2 linked regions of the Rhinolophus ferrumequinum genome follow. The protein of the gene in region 1 binds, or shares a complex with, the protein of each later gene. Links are inferred from orthologs where the notes say so. Each region holds a gene or a part of one and is shown on either strand. Other genes may lie near its edges.

What was found. The genes of interacting proteins can lie anywhere in the genome.
Region 2: the proteins of KCNMA1 (region 1) and LRRC26 are in contact, whole or in part, in a cryo-EM structure (PDB 7YNZ), measured with the Homo sapiens proteins. The link is inferred for Rhinolophus ferrumequinum from reciprocal best matches to the Homo sapiens genes KCNMA1 and LRRC26. Residues at the interface, in NP_001154824.1 of Homo sapiens: Pro78, Cys79, Asp80, Ser81, Arg82, Gln84, Trp88, Ala92, Ser93, Val96, Thr97, Glu155, Trp158, Met159, Ser161, Val162, Trp165, Cys206, Leu226, Leu227, Phe229, Gly230, Leu231, Phe233, Ile234, Asp251, Phe252, Pro256, Phe259, Val260; in NP_001013675.1 of Homo sapiens: Gly204, Cys205, Gly206, Cys207, Ala208, Arg236, Leu237, Ala249, Phe250, His252, Cys253, Ala254, Gln255, Leu257, Arg260, Asp261, Leu262, Val264, Val265, Tyr266, Leu268, Gly269, Pro270, Ser272, Phe273, Ser276, Leu277, Cys280, Leu281, Leu283.

The regions. Positions count from the first base shown.
Region 1 is NC_046299.1:54,351,349-54,359,339, forward strand, and holds the start of KCNMA1 (calcium-activated potassium channel subunit alpha-1), read right to left. Parts: upstream 3,011-7,991; 5' UTR 2,815-3,010; coding exon 2,452-2,814; intron 1-2,451. UniProt on the Homo sapiens protein: Potassium channel activated by both membrane depolarization or increase in cytosolic Ca(2+) that mediates export of K(+). It is also activated by the concentration of cytosolic Mg(2+).
Region 2 is NC_046295.1:83,281,619-83,288,357, reverse strand, and holds LRRC26 (leucine-rich repeat-containing protein 26), read left to right. Parts: upstream 1-4,584; 5' UTR 4,585-4,697; coding exon 4,698-5,688; intron 5,689-5,770; coding exon 5,771-6,087; 3' UTR 6,088-6,225; downstream 6,226-6,739. Other genes in the region: ANAPC2 (anaphase-promoting complex subunit 2), read left to right, coding at 17-146, 264-499, 572-784; TMEM210 (transmembrane protein 210), read left to right, coding at 3,055-3,142, 3,309-3,444, 3,682-3,711, 3,872-4,070. UniProt on the Homo sapiens protein: Auxiliary protein of the large-conductance, voltage and calcium-activated potassium channel (BK alpha). Required for the conversion of BK alpha channels from a high-voltage to a low-voltage activated channel type in non-excitable cells.

The DNA.
Region 1 (7,991 bases):
AAAAAACCATGACTGCAGTAAAAATACAGATCTCCGGGGTAGACAGAAACCCTTATAAAAGGCCTAAGTTATTATTACTGGGTCTAATGAGTTGGCTCCACTAGGTTTAATTGAACAGATTAAGGGGCAAGTATTAAGAGATTCTAAGCATGGTTTAAAATGAACTTTAACGGTATCAAAAGTGACCTGATTCACATCGGCCTCACAGATTCCCAGCCAACGGCAAGCATCTCTCATCCCAGGCTGATTCCTTGTAGAAACTTCCAGTTATGTCAACTCCGCAGGTCTCGGAACTACAAACTATAGTCTAATATGTAGGGATTGTTTTTGCTAACGATAATTGCCAAAAACCTATTTTCTGGAGAAAACTGACAGAAGTTATGCTTGGTCATCATTTAGGAAAGAGACTCTTTATGTGAACAGTACAATTAGCATTTCATCACAGGCAATGCAGTGGCACCGATGAAGCCCCTAGAGCGAGAAAACTTAGAGACTGTTCAAAACACCAGAATCACAAAAACACTTTCAAAGTATATTGCGACTCACTGAAAAAAAGTTACCACCTCGTTCCTTACCAGATAAGGAGTCTGTTAAAAAGTTCACCAGAATCACTCAGTGTAGAGAACATTTTAGATTTGCACAACTATGAGCTATCTTTCCCCTAAGGGCAGACACTGAATCTCAGTAAAGGAAAATAAACTCCAGGGCTGAAGACTGTGGGGGAGGTGGAGGAGAGGAAACGGGTGGATAAAAAGACTATGAATAAGTGCTTATTAGGTAGGCGAGGCAAGGGGCATGGTCTCAGGGTCTCATGGGTAGGATTCTGCGTAATCTGACAGCTTCTCTGGAATGCGTGAGGTTTTCCACCTTGACAAGTAAGGAGAAACCTCTGTGGCTGAGATGGCAACTCCAAAGAGAACTGGCTAGGCAACCGCTGGAGGTTTCCGGAGGAGGAAGAGAGTGATGGCTTTTATTTTTCTCCCTTTATTTCCAATACACCAGTATTTTCCAAAACACAAATGTGCTGCCACAAAACACAGCTGAACTCCAGCACCCAACACCATGTATAATTAATGTTTAGGAGAGGGAGCTTTGGCTCACCCTCATGTGTCACCCACAGCCCCTGGCTTCCCTACTATTTCCTGAAGCAACTAAAGAGGCTGCGACAAGTTGCTGTGCCCTGTAGGAGTTTGAGGGGTCCTTGAATTAACTTTCCTAGAAAAGCTGTGAACATTCTGAGGGAGAGCTGCCTCTGCCTTGCACTGTTCTCCTACTCCCCTTGGGCTCCCCTTGCTCTGAAAATACTGGCACTGGGAAGTCCCTAGGATAGGAATTACTCAAACAGAGGATAGCTTGGGTCACTCTTTTTTCCAGTTCTTTCTTTTTTCATTCTGCAGTTTTCTATGAAAAACTGCCCCCACCCCTCACCTTCAGCCAGCGGGGGGAAAAGAGGACATCTGTAGGGACCTGGCAGTAGACCAGGCAGTCAGCCTAGCAACCATACATAACGTGTAGTGAGCCTCAGTGCTGGTGGGCGTCTCTGCGCCGCCAGGAATAGCCTAACCCGACATCCAGCCACCTCAAAAGCGTCAGAGAGGAGGCTCCGCGTGAAACCCCGGCCTTGGCCGGCTCTCCCGCGGACCTTCCGCTCCAGCTCCACGCTGCTGGTGGCATTTCCAAGGTCCTGAGGGGGTGGCGTGGGGGCGAGAATACAGATGCACCAGAACTTGAGGTGGGGAGTATGTTCCACGAGAATCTCTCAAAGGATGGACAGGGAGGTGACAGCAGATGTGCGACCTCACCACACTCCTAAAGTGGCCGCCTCCATGGTTGCCTCCAAAACTGGGTGCATCTCCCCAACTTTCTTTTGACCCCCAGACCCTCCCCACTTCCTCTGGCCATGTTCTTCCCCCGGGATTCCCTAGTCCAAAAGGTTTGCTTCCTTGCCCAAAGGATTTTCCCTTCCTTCTGACTCCACTAACTCATCTCCCCAACAGGTTTCTAAAGTGCGGGCTGATGTGCTCGCCCTCGCCCACCGCCAGAAGCCCGGCCGCGGCAGGTGAGCCGTGCGATACACGCACCCAGCGGCCCCCAGCTTTCTGGGCGCCCGCGGGGTTGGCTCTCCCTACCCCAAACCACAGCACCCGAACGGCGCGCGTCCCCGACCCCGGCCCGGGCCGCAGCCGCAAACAGCCCTACAATAAACAAGGGGTCAGGATTGGAGATCCGCGTCCAGGGGCGCACCGGTTAGGGGCAGCTCCTCACCCCCGGCGCGCCGCCCGCTGTCCCAATCCGAAGGCGCAGGGACAGCGGAGGGAAGGGAGGGCGGCAGGGGACGGCAGGCAGGGATGGAGGGAGGCTCGGCGCCGTGAGGAGCGAGGAGGTGGGCTGCCGGGGACGCCGAGGAGCGGCGGGGCTGGCGCAAGGGGCGGGAGCCGGGGCGCGCCTTACCTTCGTCTTGCCCCCGCAGTGGCAGCAAACGGTCCACAGGTACTTGAGCGTCCGCCAGAGCAGGATGATGAAGAGGCCCCCGAAGAAAGTCACCATGGAGGAGGCCAGGAAAGCCCACCACATGCGCTGGCCACGGCTGTCGCACGGCACCTCCATGGTCACAGGGATGATGAGCGCATCCATCTTGGGCTCGTGGACCGAGGACGAGGAGGAAGAGGAGGAGGATGAAGAAGAGGAGGAAGAGGAGGACGCGTCTAGGCTGAGATGGTTCGCGTGGATATTGCTACTCATTCTAAGACTGTTGCCTCCGCCGCCACCGCCGCCGCCGCCGCTGCTGCCGCCGCCGCCGCCACCATTTGCCATAGCTAGCAACGGGCAGCCGGCGCAGGGGCTCGGGGGAGCTCCTCCCGCCGCCAGCGCCACCCCGAACACCCATCAACAGCCATATTGCTGCTACTGCTGCCGCCGCCGCGGAGCGCGGGGAGGGGGGCGGGGAGGCGCCTGGGCTCGGGGCGCTGTGCGCGACCTGGCGGGGTGCGCGGAGATATATACAGCCAGCCGCCGCCGCCCGCCCTCCCCCAGGCCGCCGGCCCGCCCGCCCGGGGGGGAGGGGGATGGAGCGCGCGGGCAGCTCCCCTCCCCGGCCCGCGCCCCTCTCGCCCCGGGCTGCGCTGGCCCCTAGCGCAGAAAGCGAGGGGACGCCGTGGGCCGCCCGCGCCCGGGGTCTGCACCGCCCCCGGGCCCGCCCCGGCTCAGCGCGCGGGCCCGGGTGCCCCGGCTGCCGCGCCGCCTGCCGTGCGCCACGCGTGTGCGCTGTGCTCCGGCCCGAGACCCCCGCCCCGCGCGCCGCCCGCGCCGCCCGCGCCGCTAACGAGCGGCTCTTAGCTTATTAGGCGGCAACTCGTTAATAATGCATAATCAGCCCCCTCCGCTCGGAAGCCCCGCGCCAGCCCTCCTCCCCCTGCTGCGCTCGCCACCCCCGTGCGCACTGGGCCGCGGCAGGTTCACCGCGTCCGGTCGCCGGGCGCCGCCGCCGCTAGTCCATGCTCCCTGAGCGCATCGCCACCCGGCTGAGCCTCCTCGGCCTCCGCTCGTTCTTCCTCGCTTCCTCAGTCTCCTCCTCGTCCCCGTCCTCGCCACCCAAGCCTCTTCGGCGCGCGCCCCGCGCTCCCCGCGGCCGCCAGCAGCGGCAGCTGCAGCTGCAGCAACTAGAACGGGCGCGGACTCTACCGCCCGAAGCGGGAGGGAAGGAGGCTCACAGCGCTGGTTCGCTTAGGCTGGACGGGGCAGGCTGACCCCTCGGCACGCACTCCTGACCCCCAGTGCGCGAGATGGAGCACCCCAAGCCCAGAGCGGGACCCGGCACCTCTCTCCAGTGTGCTCCCCCCTCCGCACCACCACACCCCCGCAGAGCGCCCTGGGGGACCCGAAGAGGTTGGCCGGGCCCCCATGGCAAGCCATTTTTCCCAAAGGAGACCGTAGCGTGGAGGGGAGGAATGACCAGCTGTGGACTCGATTCCACAGGATCCTCGGGCTCAGGATCCTCGGGCTTCGGGAGTGAGGAGGACCCTTCTTCAAGATACACACCCTAGTTCGACCCCTACTGATCCCTAGTTCGTTCTTTCGTTCCCCCTTCATAGGTGCTCTAGTGCCAGGTGCATGGCTGGAAGGCAGGGCCATCCCAGAGGCTGGCGGGTGGTCTGTGGCCTTGACAGCAGCAGGTGGTTTTTCTGCCTTTTCCCAATGAAAGGGACAGAGGCTGCCTACGAGGGTATCCAGAGAGGGGTAGGGGGTGCCTGGCCTCAGGGGCTGTGCAGGCTCCAATAGGCAATAGAGTTTCCTAAAGTCACTTTCTTTTATCTAGCTTCAGACTTCATCATGTGAGGAGGGCAGCTGCGAGAAGAGGTGCTCCAGGCTCCACTCAAGTCCACCTTTCCCCGCTTAGGGTCTTCCTTTCTCCCTCTTAAAGATGAAGGAGTCGGGTGTGTTAAACAGCCTCTATCATTTCACCACCAGGGTAATCCCCCTTCTGATACTCTAAGAAACCGGCTCCCTCTGGAAACCGCCCTTCTTCCTTGGGCTACCAGCTGGACCACAAGCTTTTCCAGTGCTCGTTAAAAGGAAGATGGTCACATTCTCCCCTCATTGCCCACAATGGTTTCCCCAAAGTTTCCAGCTCATTAATTTAGGCTTAATTGGAATTCTCAAGTTCCTTTCAGCCCTTCCTGTGATGAGGGCGAACTTAGCATCCTTCACTGTATAGGCCAATGCTGTTTCTGCCTGAGCCAGATTTCAGCCCCTCCCCTCGCCCTTGGAGGCCCTGGGATGCAGGGCAGGACCTGGCGAGGGAAGCCCAGCTGGGCAGAGAGGCTGAAGGGGATGTGTGAAGCTTCTCCTGCTATTCGGCATACGTTCACTGGTCTCAGGAAACACATCCATTAGAAAAGAGTCAAAGCCAAGGTCAAAGGGGGAAGTGGAATGAGGTAGAATTCTCCAGTGTTTGGTACTCAAAAGCAGTATGTAAAATGGAGCTACACACAGTATTTTCCAGAAACTGAAATTGTCTGTCACCCGTTTGGTACCTCCAGCCTCGTCTTCCACGTTCAGCAGCCACTCGGAACACATCCCTGTTCAATCCATCCTACACATGCAAAGGCCCGGGGTCTTTCCAGCACTGGGTTGGGGAGAGGTCGCCTGGGGGTCACCTGTAGAAGTGCTGTGGGGATGCACAAGAAAGTGACGATGGCCTTGAGGTTCCCTGATTTTATTAGCCTTCTAAAGGACTGTACTTTGCTGCCTTTGGGCCTCCGTATATGTCAGGAAATTTAAAGACTTTCCTTAAATCAAGTCCAAGATTTGAAATTTAAAAACGAAACATCCATAATATAAGAGCAGCAAAGAACGGTTTCCCCAGGGGCATATAAAACCCCCAGAATGGATTCCCTCCCTCACAAAATTGAGCTTTGCAAACCACCGAATCCCCTCCAGGCTTTCCTGGACTTCCCCCACAGCCTGGGTTCCCCTGAAATGCAGTCTGGGGCTCCTAGCAGCAGGCCACTGGTTGCTGTGACTTCTATTGCTCCAAATGCGAAATCCTCCAGCTGTGTTTCTCTTCCACCATCACCTTCATCATCTCATCATCCTTTCAGAACATGCCGGGAGGCTCCTAGCCATCATCTGCTCTCTTCATCACCCCTGTCTGTGCTGATTGAAGATTTTAGCAACTTCTGCGTTATCTAAAACCTAGGTTTAGTTGGTATTCATCAGAGACCTTCACTGTCAAAGTCATTCCTGCAATCCCCAGTCCCTCAACACCTTCCCAAGAGCTTTCACTGGTAGGCGCTGAATGAGACAGTGCCATCATCCACCAGAAATAAACCTCCTCAGACCTTTGCCCAGCTCTCTCCTGCTCCTTCCTTCTCATCCACAAACGTCTGTGCCAGGTTCAGTAAACTTGGCACTGGTTTCTTTCACCAACTGAGGAAGAGTTTCTACCCAGACAAGATGGAACATCAAACTTAAAAGGAACCCTCGGTACCTTTCATTCATTGTGTTTCCTCATTTGTAAAGCGGAATAAAACCAGGAACTGCCCTGCCCACCTCAGAGGGTCATTTGTAAGGATGAAAAAGAAAATATGTAGATCTTGTTACTGTGACCCCAAAACAGCCAAACTCGGACCAGATCCTCTCCCCCACAAGGGCAGGATCCACCACACCCCGAGGGCAGGATTATTGCTACCTGTCCCCACTTTGCTGTCCTGCACCCCCAAGAGGCCAGTGACTGCTTCACTCTGCCAGTGACACTACGGCCCCTAGGGCCTCACAGACAGCCAGGTGTGGACAGGGCATCGCAGAGCCACTCCAGCCTGAGTGGGCCCTCTGAACCCTGACACGTATGCCCACGCATTGCCTTCCCACTGCCCCAGGCGGCTTCGGAAATGCAAAGAATGTGGAAAAACACCTATGAATAACCCCGGTACATTTCACCTCTTGCAGGTGTGTCTGCAAACTGGGACTGAAAGGCACAGGACTGAAAGCCTAAACTACAAGAGACATTTCAACCTCCTCTGTTCTGAAAACAATACGGGCCACTTACTTATTTCTAAATACATTTATAAGCGTCTCAGAGAGGAGGTCGGCCTCTTTATCATGTGAACATGTGCCTGTGGCAGCTTTCAAAGCAAACCAAGGTTTCAAGTTTCCAAAGAATTCTAATCTGAACTATCCCAATTGATCTAAAGGACATAAATAAAAGTGCACCAACATGAACTGAAAAAGCGGGGTGACTAGAGTAATAACCCAGGAGGACAAAGCAGCTTATTTAATTAAATGTCAGCCCAACATCATAATTAATGTAGTCCGGATTTCGTTTATCTGGGGCCTGGAACCAGTTCCAAAATTTCTATTGTATAGGCTTTCAGTCCTTGTGCAATGGCCCTTAATTCCCAGCCTGCAGACACACCTTACATGAGATGAAATGTAATGGCTGCAGCAGAGCGCAGGAGTTACTGGCTTCAGTTCTCATTCTGACTTAAATCTTTGTGATTTTCTGGGGTAAAGTCGGGCGGACTCTGTAAGTGGTCTAGCGCCCTCTGGTGAGTCTTCCCGGTACAAGACATCATTTTGTGAATGTGAAAAGGGGTATTACTGAAACAAAAATTGGATTTGAAAATTCCAAAGAGAAAAGCCCTGCTATAAAAACATGCAACCAAAATAATATTAATTGAGAGAACGTGGTGAGAAGCGGAGCACGGCTTTCTATTCTGGGCCCCTCCAGGCCCTCCGGCCTCGGGCTGGGAGGTGAGCTGGGGGGGCCCAGGGACAGGCCGCAGGCTCTGTCCTGCAGAGACCCAGACCCCTTCCGAGCCGCGGTTGCCCACTGGCTGGGCCCAGGCCTTGAAGCAGCAGCGAACCTCTCGCCCTACCCCCACCTCCATCTCCGCGACCTGATGGCGGCGCTTCTCTGATCGCACATCCCACCGATCGCCTGGTCTCCTGGCCCAACCCTGCGGGGCCTAGGCGAAGCCCCGCCAAGCGTTTGAGCGAAGGGCGTGGAGGGGCGAAAAGAATGGCGGCCACTCGAATGCCGCGGAGGGCCGTTAGGACCGTCGGGGGTCCCAGAAGGCGGGTCTACGTGGTCGCAAGCTGGCCCACCCTTAGGCCTTCGAGCCGCGCAGATGCAGGACTTGGGGTAACTCCTCTAACCCAGTTGGATGAGATCTCACCTCGCACAGACAACGACGGACAAAGGCCATAATGGGCCCGGAAGGTGAGCAGAAAGGACCCAGTCGACGACGGGTGGAAGGGTTAGTGGGCCATCGGGCGGTTGGTCTTCGTTCTACCAGACCTTGATTACGGAAGAAAGAAAAGGCACAACAATATACCACAGTTGGCCAACAGGAAGTGCCCACCACCCTTTGGGAAGATTTACTGGCCGTATATAGAAGGCCTGTGTATATAATATGAAAAAGCTGCTCCCAACTTTACCCCCCAACCTTTCAAAAGAAAACTGCTACATCTAGGCCTTTAGATGTAAAGAG
Region 2 (6,739 bases), on another chromosome or scaffold:
CTCCAGCCCTCCCCAGGCCATGCGGACCCTCAGCTGGAAGCACACCCTGGGCCTGGTGACCATGGATGTGGAGCTGGCTGACCGCACGCTGTCTGTGGCCGTGACCCCTGTGCAGGCTGTGGTCTTGCTGTATTTCCAGGACCAAGGTGAGCCAACTGCCCAGGCACTGCTTACCCGGGGGGTGGGGGTGGGCAGGACGTGGGCCACCCCTTGCCGTCCCCTCCCCACCGGGCCTAGCCCAGCGTGCCTGGCCGCCCCTGCAGCCAGCTGGACCCTGGAGGAGCTGAGCAAGGTGGTAAAGATGCCGGTGGCCCTGCTGCGACGGCGCATGGCGGTGTGGCTACAGCAGGGCGTGCTGCGGGAGGAGCCTACTGGCACCTTCTCTGTCGTGGAGGAAGAGCGGCCCCAGGACCGTGACAGCATGGTGCTCCTTGACAGCGACGATGACAGTGACTCGGGCATGGCCTCCCAAGCCGACCAGAAGGAGGAGGAGCTGCTGGTGCGCCCATGGGACTGGGGGCGGGGCCGCGAGCAGGGCCACGGGCGGGGCTGACGGCCGCTGTCCCCGCAGCTCTTCTGGACGTACATCCAGGCCATGCTGACCAACCTGGAGAGCCTGTCGCTGGAGCGCATCTACAGCATGCTGCGCATGTTTGTGGTGACGGGCCCCGCGCTCGCTGAGATCGACCTGCAGGAGCTGCAAGGCTTCCTGCAGAAGAAGGTGCGCGAACAGCAGCTCGTCTACGCCGGAGGCGTCTACCGCCTGCCCAAGAGCTGCGGCTGACAGGCTGCCGGCCCTGCCCTGCAGGACGGATAGCCAGGTGCTGCGCACACCCTGCCCGGTCCCCCACTCACTGCCTAGCTCCCAGAGTGCACAGTAAAATGGTTGGTTCTTCATCCTTTCCTTGTCTTGGTGGCTTTGTGGGCCCCTCATGGACACATATACAGGTTCTCCCCCCAGACCAGCCTCTCCACCTCAGCTCCCTGGCCTGCCCGCCTGTGTTTGGGCCCCAAAACACAGTTCTGCATGTGGGTGCCCCCAAGGCCCACCATGCAGGCAGGAGTGAGCACCAGGGCTTAGCTGCACTCTAGCCGCCTACAGCGTGCCAGCTCCAGCCGCACTCATCTGGCCTTTGAAAGGACCCCTTGGGTCACCCTCCCTCTGCATGGCCCGAGGGTCCAGCCCTCAAGGGCTGGGCCAGGAGCCCCAGGGCTGCCGCTGGGACATGTGGGTCCCATTGGAACATTGGAGGCGGCGCAGGCAGGCTGTTTCCTGCTAAGCCAGGAACTTCTTGCACCCCTAAGCGGGATGGGCTGCCTGGGACACGCCCTGTGGTGGGAGGGAGCAGGCATTTGCTGTCCCAAACTAGAGTCAGGCAGCCGCAGTGCTCGGGGCTCACAGTGACATGTGCTTTCGGGAAGGCCACTTACCCCCACTCCCCAGAGGTGTGGTCAGGACGAAGGGCCTGTGAGCCCAGCTGGTCAGCGCAGCACCTTTCCAGGCCCCACCCTCATCCTGAGGTCCCAGAAGGTGGGGGCGTTGGCCCTGCCCAGGCCCCAGGCCTTCAAAGCTGCACCAGGCACCACAGCCTCAGGCAGCAACTGCTCTGGCCTGGTGGCACTGTCCTGGCAGTCGACAGGCCCTGTGGAGGGAGCACCTGCTGCCTGGACAGCCCGCAGTCCCCACAGTCCGGCTCCACAGGGCCCTGAGTGGCACTGTCCCCCAGGATGTCCCCTTCATGCTCCAGAGCATGCTGATTGCCACGGCCTGAGGAGGACACGGTGGGAATGAGGTCATGGCCTCAGCAGTTGGAGGGTTCTGACCCGCCGTCCTCTCCTGTGCTGTGGACCCAAGTGGGGGGCTTCCCACTGTCCCCTGAGTTCTGGGGGAGGCCCGGGCAGTTCTGACACCAACACCCACCGTTGCCTCCAGGCCAGCCCCCACTTGGCACCAGGCTGGATGTTCCTTTGTCTTCCTAACCAGGATGCAAACCGGTTGGACTGGTCTGGCAAGGTGTCAGTGCCAGCCCCGGGCACAGGCACACCTGGTCTTTCTCCCTTTGAACTTGGTCTGGGGACGAGTGTGGTATAACCCAGCGTGTCTTGGGTCACAGCATCATTCAGCAGGCACAGTGGAGTGTCAGGAGCTGCTGGTTGGCAGGTCCCCGAAGACCCCACCAGAAGGCGTCCCCAGCCCTGTGGGGTCAGCCGTGGGGGGGGCACTTCCTCTTGCTGCCCGGGTCGTTGGAGGGGGTGGTGCGGAAGAGCAGGGAGGAGGCTGACCACACCGGCCTGCAGGCGAGTGCTTGCCTGGTCTGCAGGACGCCTCATGGGACAGACTCTCTCAGGGGTGGCAGGCAGGTGCTGAGGAGGCACTGGGCTCTGACATTGAAGCTGGAGCCTCGAACGCTGCCTGCAGCCATTTCTGAGCCACCTGCCCCGAGAGCAGAGTGTTCTGGGAAGACCTGTGAGCAGCAACGCACACACACCTCCTGGGGGATGGTGGATCCCCTGGGAGGCCGTCCAGCCCCGGGCATTGCTGGGGTATGGGTGGGACCCTCCTCAACACAGCCAGTGTGGGGGCAGCAGGTGCAGCTCCCCCACTGGCCAGTCTCAGCCCCTGCTTGTCCCAGCCTTGGGGGAAGGGTGGTGACATCAGCCAGCTGGAGCCCAGGCTTCACCCTTGTCCTGAGAGACACTGAGGCCAGGGGCTGCCTGCTGTAGACCTCCCTGGGTTTCTGGGCCACTGTGTTCACGACCTCGCTCGCCCCCTTCCCTATGAAGCACCATCCCCACAAGACCAGGGCAGCCCCCACCCCATTGCCTCTGCCTCAGACCTGGCCAGGAGACAGGAGTGGCTCCTAGGCCCCATCCACCCTATCTGCCCCACCCCGGGACTGCCTGCCCAGGGTTCCTGGAATCCCAGTGCACCCCAGGGCGAGTGAAGCTCCAGCAGAGGCCCTGCCCCCACCCTGCCTGCCTCACAGCCTCACTGTGAGGTCAGCGCCTTCCGAGGAGTTCCACCAGAGGTGTGTGGTGAGGCTGGGGCTGGACATGGCCCCCTGTCCCCGGCCTGTCCCCGGCCTGGTCGGCAGCCCCCTTGGCCTGATATGTTTGTCCCTTTTGCTCTTCCCTGCTGCAGGTGCTTCCTCCAGCCCCTGAACCCCACCCCCAGCCAGGGTCCCTCCCTGTCCAGGCAGGCTGGGCACACTGTCTCCTGGTGGCCAAACGGGGTTGGGGGTGGCCCTGGGGGTCCTCCACCAGCAGGTGACCACAGCCCCTTGGCCACACGGGTGCTGTTTCTGCAGCTGGAACCTACTGCGAATGCGGCCTTGGCCTCAGCCGTGAGGCCCTCATTGCCTTGCTCGTGGTGCTGGCTGGGATCAGCGCCAGCTGCTTCTTTGCCCTCGTCATCGTGGCGGTCGGTGTCATTCGAGCCAAGGGGTGTGTGAGCCCCAGGGCCGGGATGAGTGGGTGAGGGCTGAAGGGCAGCATGGTCTGCCCACCCTGGGCCCTCAGTCTTCCCAGGAAAAGGGCGTCTGCCCCCACACCCAGTGGGGCACAGGGGCCCAGGCATGGCATTCCCAGACTGTGGGCTGGGGAGAGGTGTGAGGGGCAACTCTGGGCTCCTGGAGCCCAGCCCTGTTGTTCTAGGATTCACACCTGCCTTTGTCTCCCCAGTGAAACATGCCCCGGACACATGGACAGAAGGTGAGTGACCCCAAGGGAGGACCACAAGGGTGAGCTGTGCCCCTGCTCCCTGCCCCCAGGAGCACTGATCAGAGGGCCCAGCCACCCCAGGTGGCCAAGACCTCGTGAGCCCATGTGGACGGCCGCCCACAGCCAGCCTGACCTGGCCCCTGTCGTGCAGATTGGTGGGGCGCTTTGGAGTCCAGGAAGACCGCATGGACCTGCAGACGGTGCACGTGGAGTCCCACCTCATGGACCCAGACCTGGAGGTCTCCAGGATGCCGCCCCTGGAGGAGCAGGGCCTAATGGCCATCCCTATGGACTCAGTGGTCCCATCTGCCACTCTAGAGGAGCTATCCTGTCCTCCCCCACCTGAGTAGGGCTGCGGGCAGCTGGGGGAAGGGGCATTAAACAGTATTTAGTGGTTCTGCGCTGTGCAGCTGCGTCACGGGGTGAAGAGGGGTCTGTGGGCCGCTCTGTCAACTCCTTTCTCGTCAATGGGGGTGCAGTGTCCACACCAAGCACCGCTGTCTCCCCTCCAGAGTGGGAGCCACACCCTGGTGTTTCCACTTCCTCCTGCAGTGGCCTCAGTACAGCTCCTCCCCACATCACATCTTCCTGCTGCTCTGTCCCATGAAGCTGGCAGAGATTCTGAGCCCGTCCACCCCGCCCCCACTCTCAGAAAACCCCAGTACACAACCTGCAACTGTGCCACTCCAGAGGGAGCAGCGCTTGACACGAGGACTTGGGCTGGTGCCCCTGCCCCACCTACACTGTCCCCTTGAGATTCCAGGCAAGTTCTTAGCCGGGTGACTGCCTCCCGGCACAGCCTGCCAGCCTATCCCCTGGGCTCAGGCCCCCATCGTGCTCATGCCCCCACCAATCCTGCACCAAGAGGATGGGTCCATCCCATGTGGGGGGCACTGTATGTGCACTAGGCTCAATTATCTGAGCTGGAAACTGGGGTGAGGGGCAGGGCCCACTGCGTCCTGTTCTGCGCTGCACCCATGGTGGGTGGTGTGTGTATGGGAGTGGGTGTGAGATCCAGCTGTTCAGGCTTCAGCGGATGGTGGATTACGCAGGGGGCGAGGGCGACTTGTAGCACCGCTTCTGACGTGGAGCCAAGAGAAGCCCCGAGCTCCAAGCTCCGGACAGGTGCTGCGAGCTGGCTAAGTGCCCAGCCCCGCCCTAGGCGGGACCAGCCGCGGGACAGGAACTGCCAGCGCTCGGGCCGGAGAGTTATTTGTACCAGCGCCGCAGGTACGGACGGCCCTCAGGGACACACGAGAAGCAGGCCTCCCACCGCGGGTCCCAAGGCTGCTCCCATGCCGAGTCCCTCCTCTCTGTCGCGGCGCCCGCCGCCGCTGTTACTGCTGCTGCTGTCGCTGTGGTCAGTCTGGGCTCAAGTGCCCGTCGCAGCCACCCCCACGGCAACCCCGGGCTCCCCGGACTGCCCCGAGGCGTGCGCGTGCGCGCCGGGCGGCCAGGCCAACTGCTCGGGAAGAGCGCTGTCCGCGGTGCCCGTGGGCCTGAGTCGGCGCGTGCGCGCGCTGCTGCTGGACCACAACCACGTGCGCGCGCTGCCGTCCCGAGCCTTCGTGGGCTCTGACGCGCTGCGGCACCTGGACCTGCGCGAGAATGGGCTGCGCTGGGTGCACGCGCGGGCCTTTTGGGGCCTGGGCGTGCTGCAGCAGCTCGACCTCAGCGCCAACCAGCTGGAGGCGCTGGCGCCTGGTACCTTCGCGTCGCTGCGCGCGCTGCGCGCCCTCTCGCTAGCCAACAACCGGTTGGCGCTCCTGGAACCCGCGGCGTTGGGTGCACTCCCGCTGCTGCACGCGCTCAGCTTGCAGGACAACGAGCTGTCTGAGCTCGCGCCCAATCTGCTGGCCGGCCTGCCGTCTCTCAACGCGCTGCGCCTGCGCGGCAACCCCTGGGCCTGCGGCTGCGCGCTGCGCCCGCTCTGCGCCTGGCTGCGCCGGCACCCGCAGCCAGCGCCAGGTGAGCCCTCGGGGCGCAGGCGGGCCGGGGAGGTCACTGCAGCTGCCCCGCCGCTGCTTGACGCCGTGCCCATGTTCCGCAGAAGCCGAGACATTGGTCTGCGTGTCGCCGGGGCGCCTGACGCTCAGCCCCTTGACTGCCTTCTCCGACGCCGCCTTCAGCCACTGCGTGCAGCCACTCGCACCGTGGGACCTGGCGGTGATCTACGCGCTCGGGCCGGTCTCCTTCCTCACCAGCCTGGCCACCTGCCTAGCGCTGGGCTCGGTGTTCACCGCCTGCCGCGCGCGCCGCAGGCGCCGCGCCGCCGCCAGCCGCCCACGGAGGCGACCTCTGAACTCCGACGTCGGCTGGGCCTCGCCTGCAGACCCTGGGAGCCCCGCTGCCGCCGCTCAAGTCTGAATGGGCCGTGGCTGCCCTCCAGTCTTTCCCCTCTCCCCTGCCCTCCTTCACAGTCCCTGCAGGCGTCAACAAGCGACACAGACCGAACATTTCGTGACATTCTTTTAGGCATCACCACTGCACACACCGGGTCAGGGGAACGGTGCGGTGCGCGCCAGGCCCCTGGGGCGGAGGGTCAGCGTGCGGCTGCAAAAGGGCCGCAGGGGAAGGCACGGGCTCGGACACGGGAAGGGCTGGGCCTGTACAAGGTGGCGCGCAGGGCTGAGGACAGTCCCGAGCCAGCGACTAGGGAAGCGCATGTTGTGCTGCATGCCGGTGGAGGCGAAGAGAAGGCTCAGTCCTCTTGGAGTCTGGAGAAGGTCTGGAGAAGGTCGGAGGCAGCGGGAAGGAGGCGGAGCAAGGCCCTAGGAAGCCGCTGCCAGCTGGGGAGTCAGGCTCTGCCCTTGGGGAAGGGCAGAGCCAGTTCAGTGAATGGGGTCAAGTGGAGAAAGGGGAGGGTAAGAAGAGGAGCAGGAGTGGAGCCGAGGCTGTGCGGAGTGGGCGCTGCAGCAGGGGGTGACCCAGCCAGCAGGGGCCACAGGCCCCGACCGTGGCTCTGGTGGTGGCTGGGGGAGGATGGGGGCTTCAGTCTCTGCTCCAAGCCCCTCTGCCT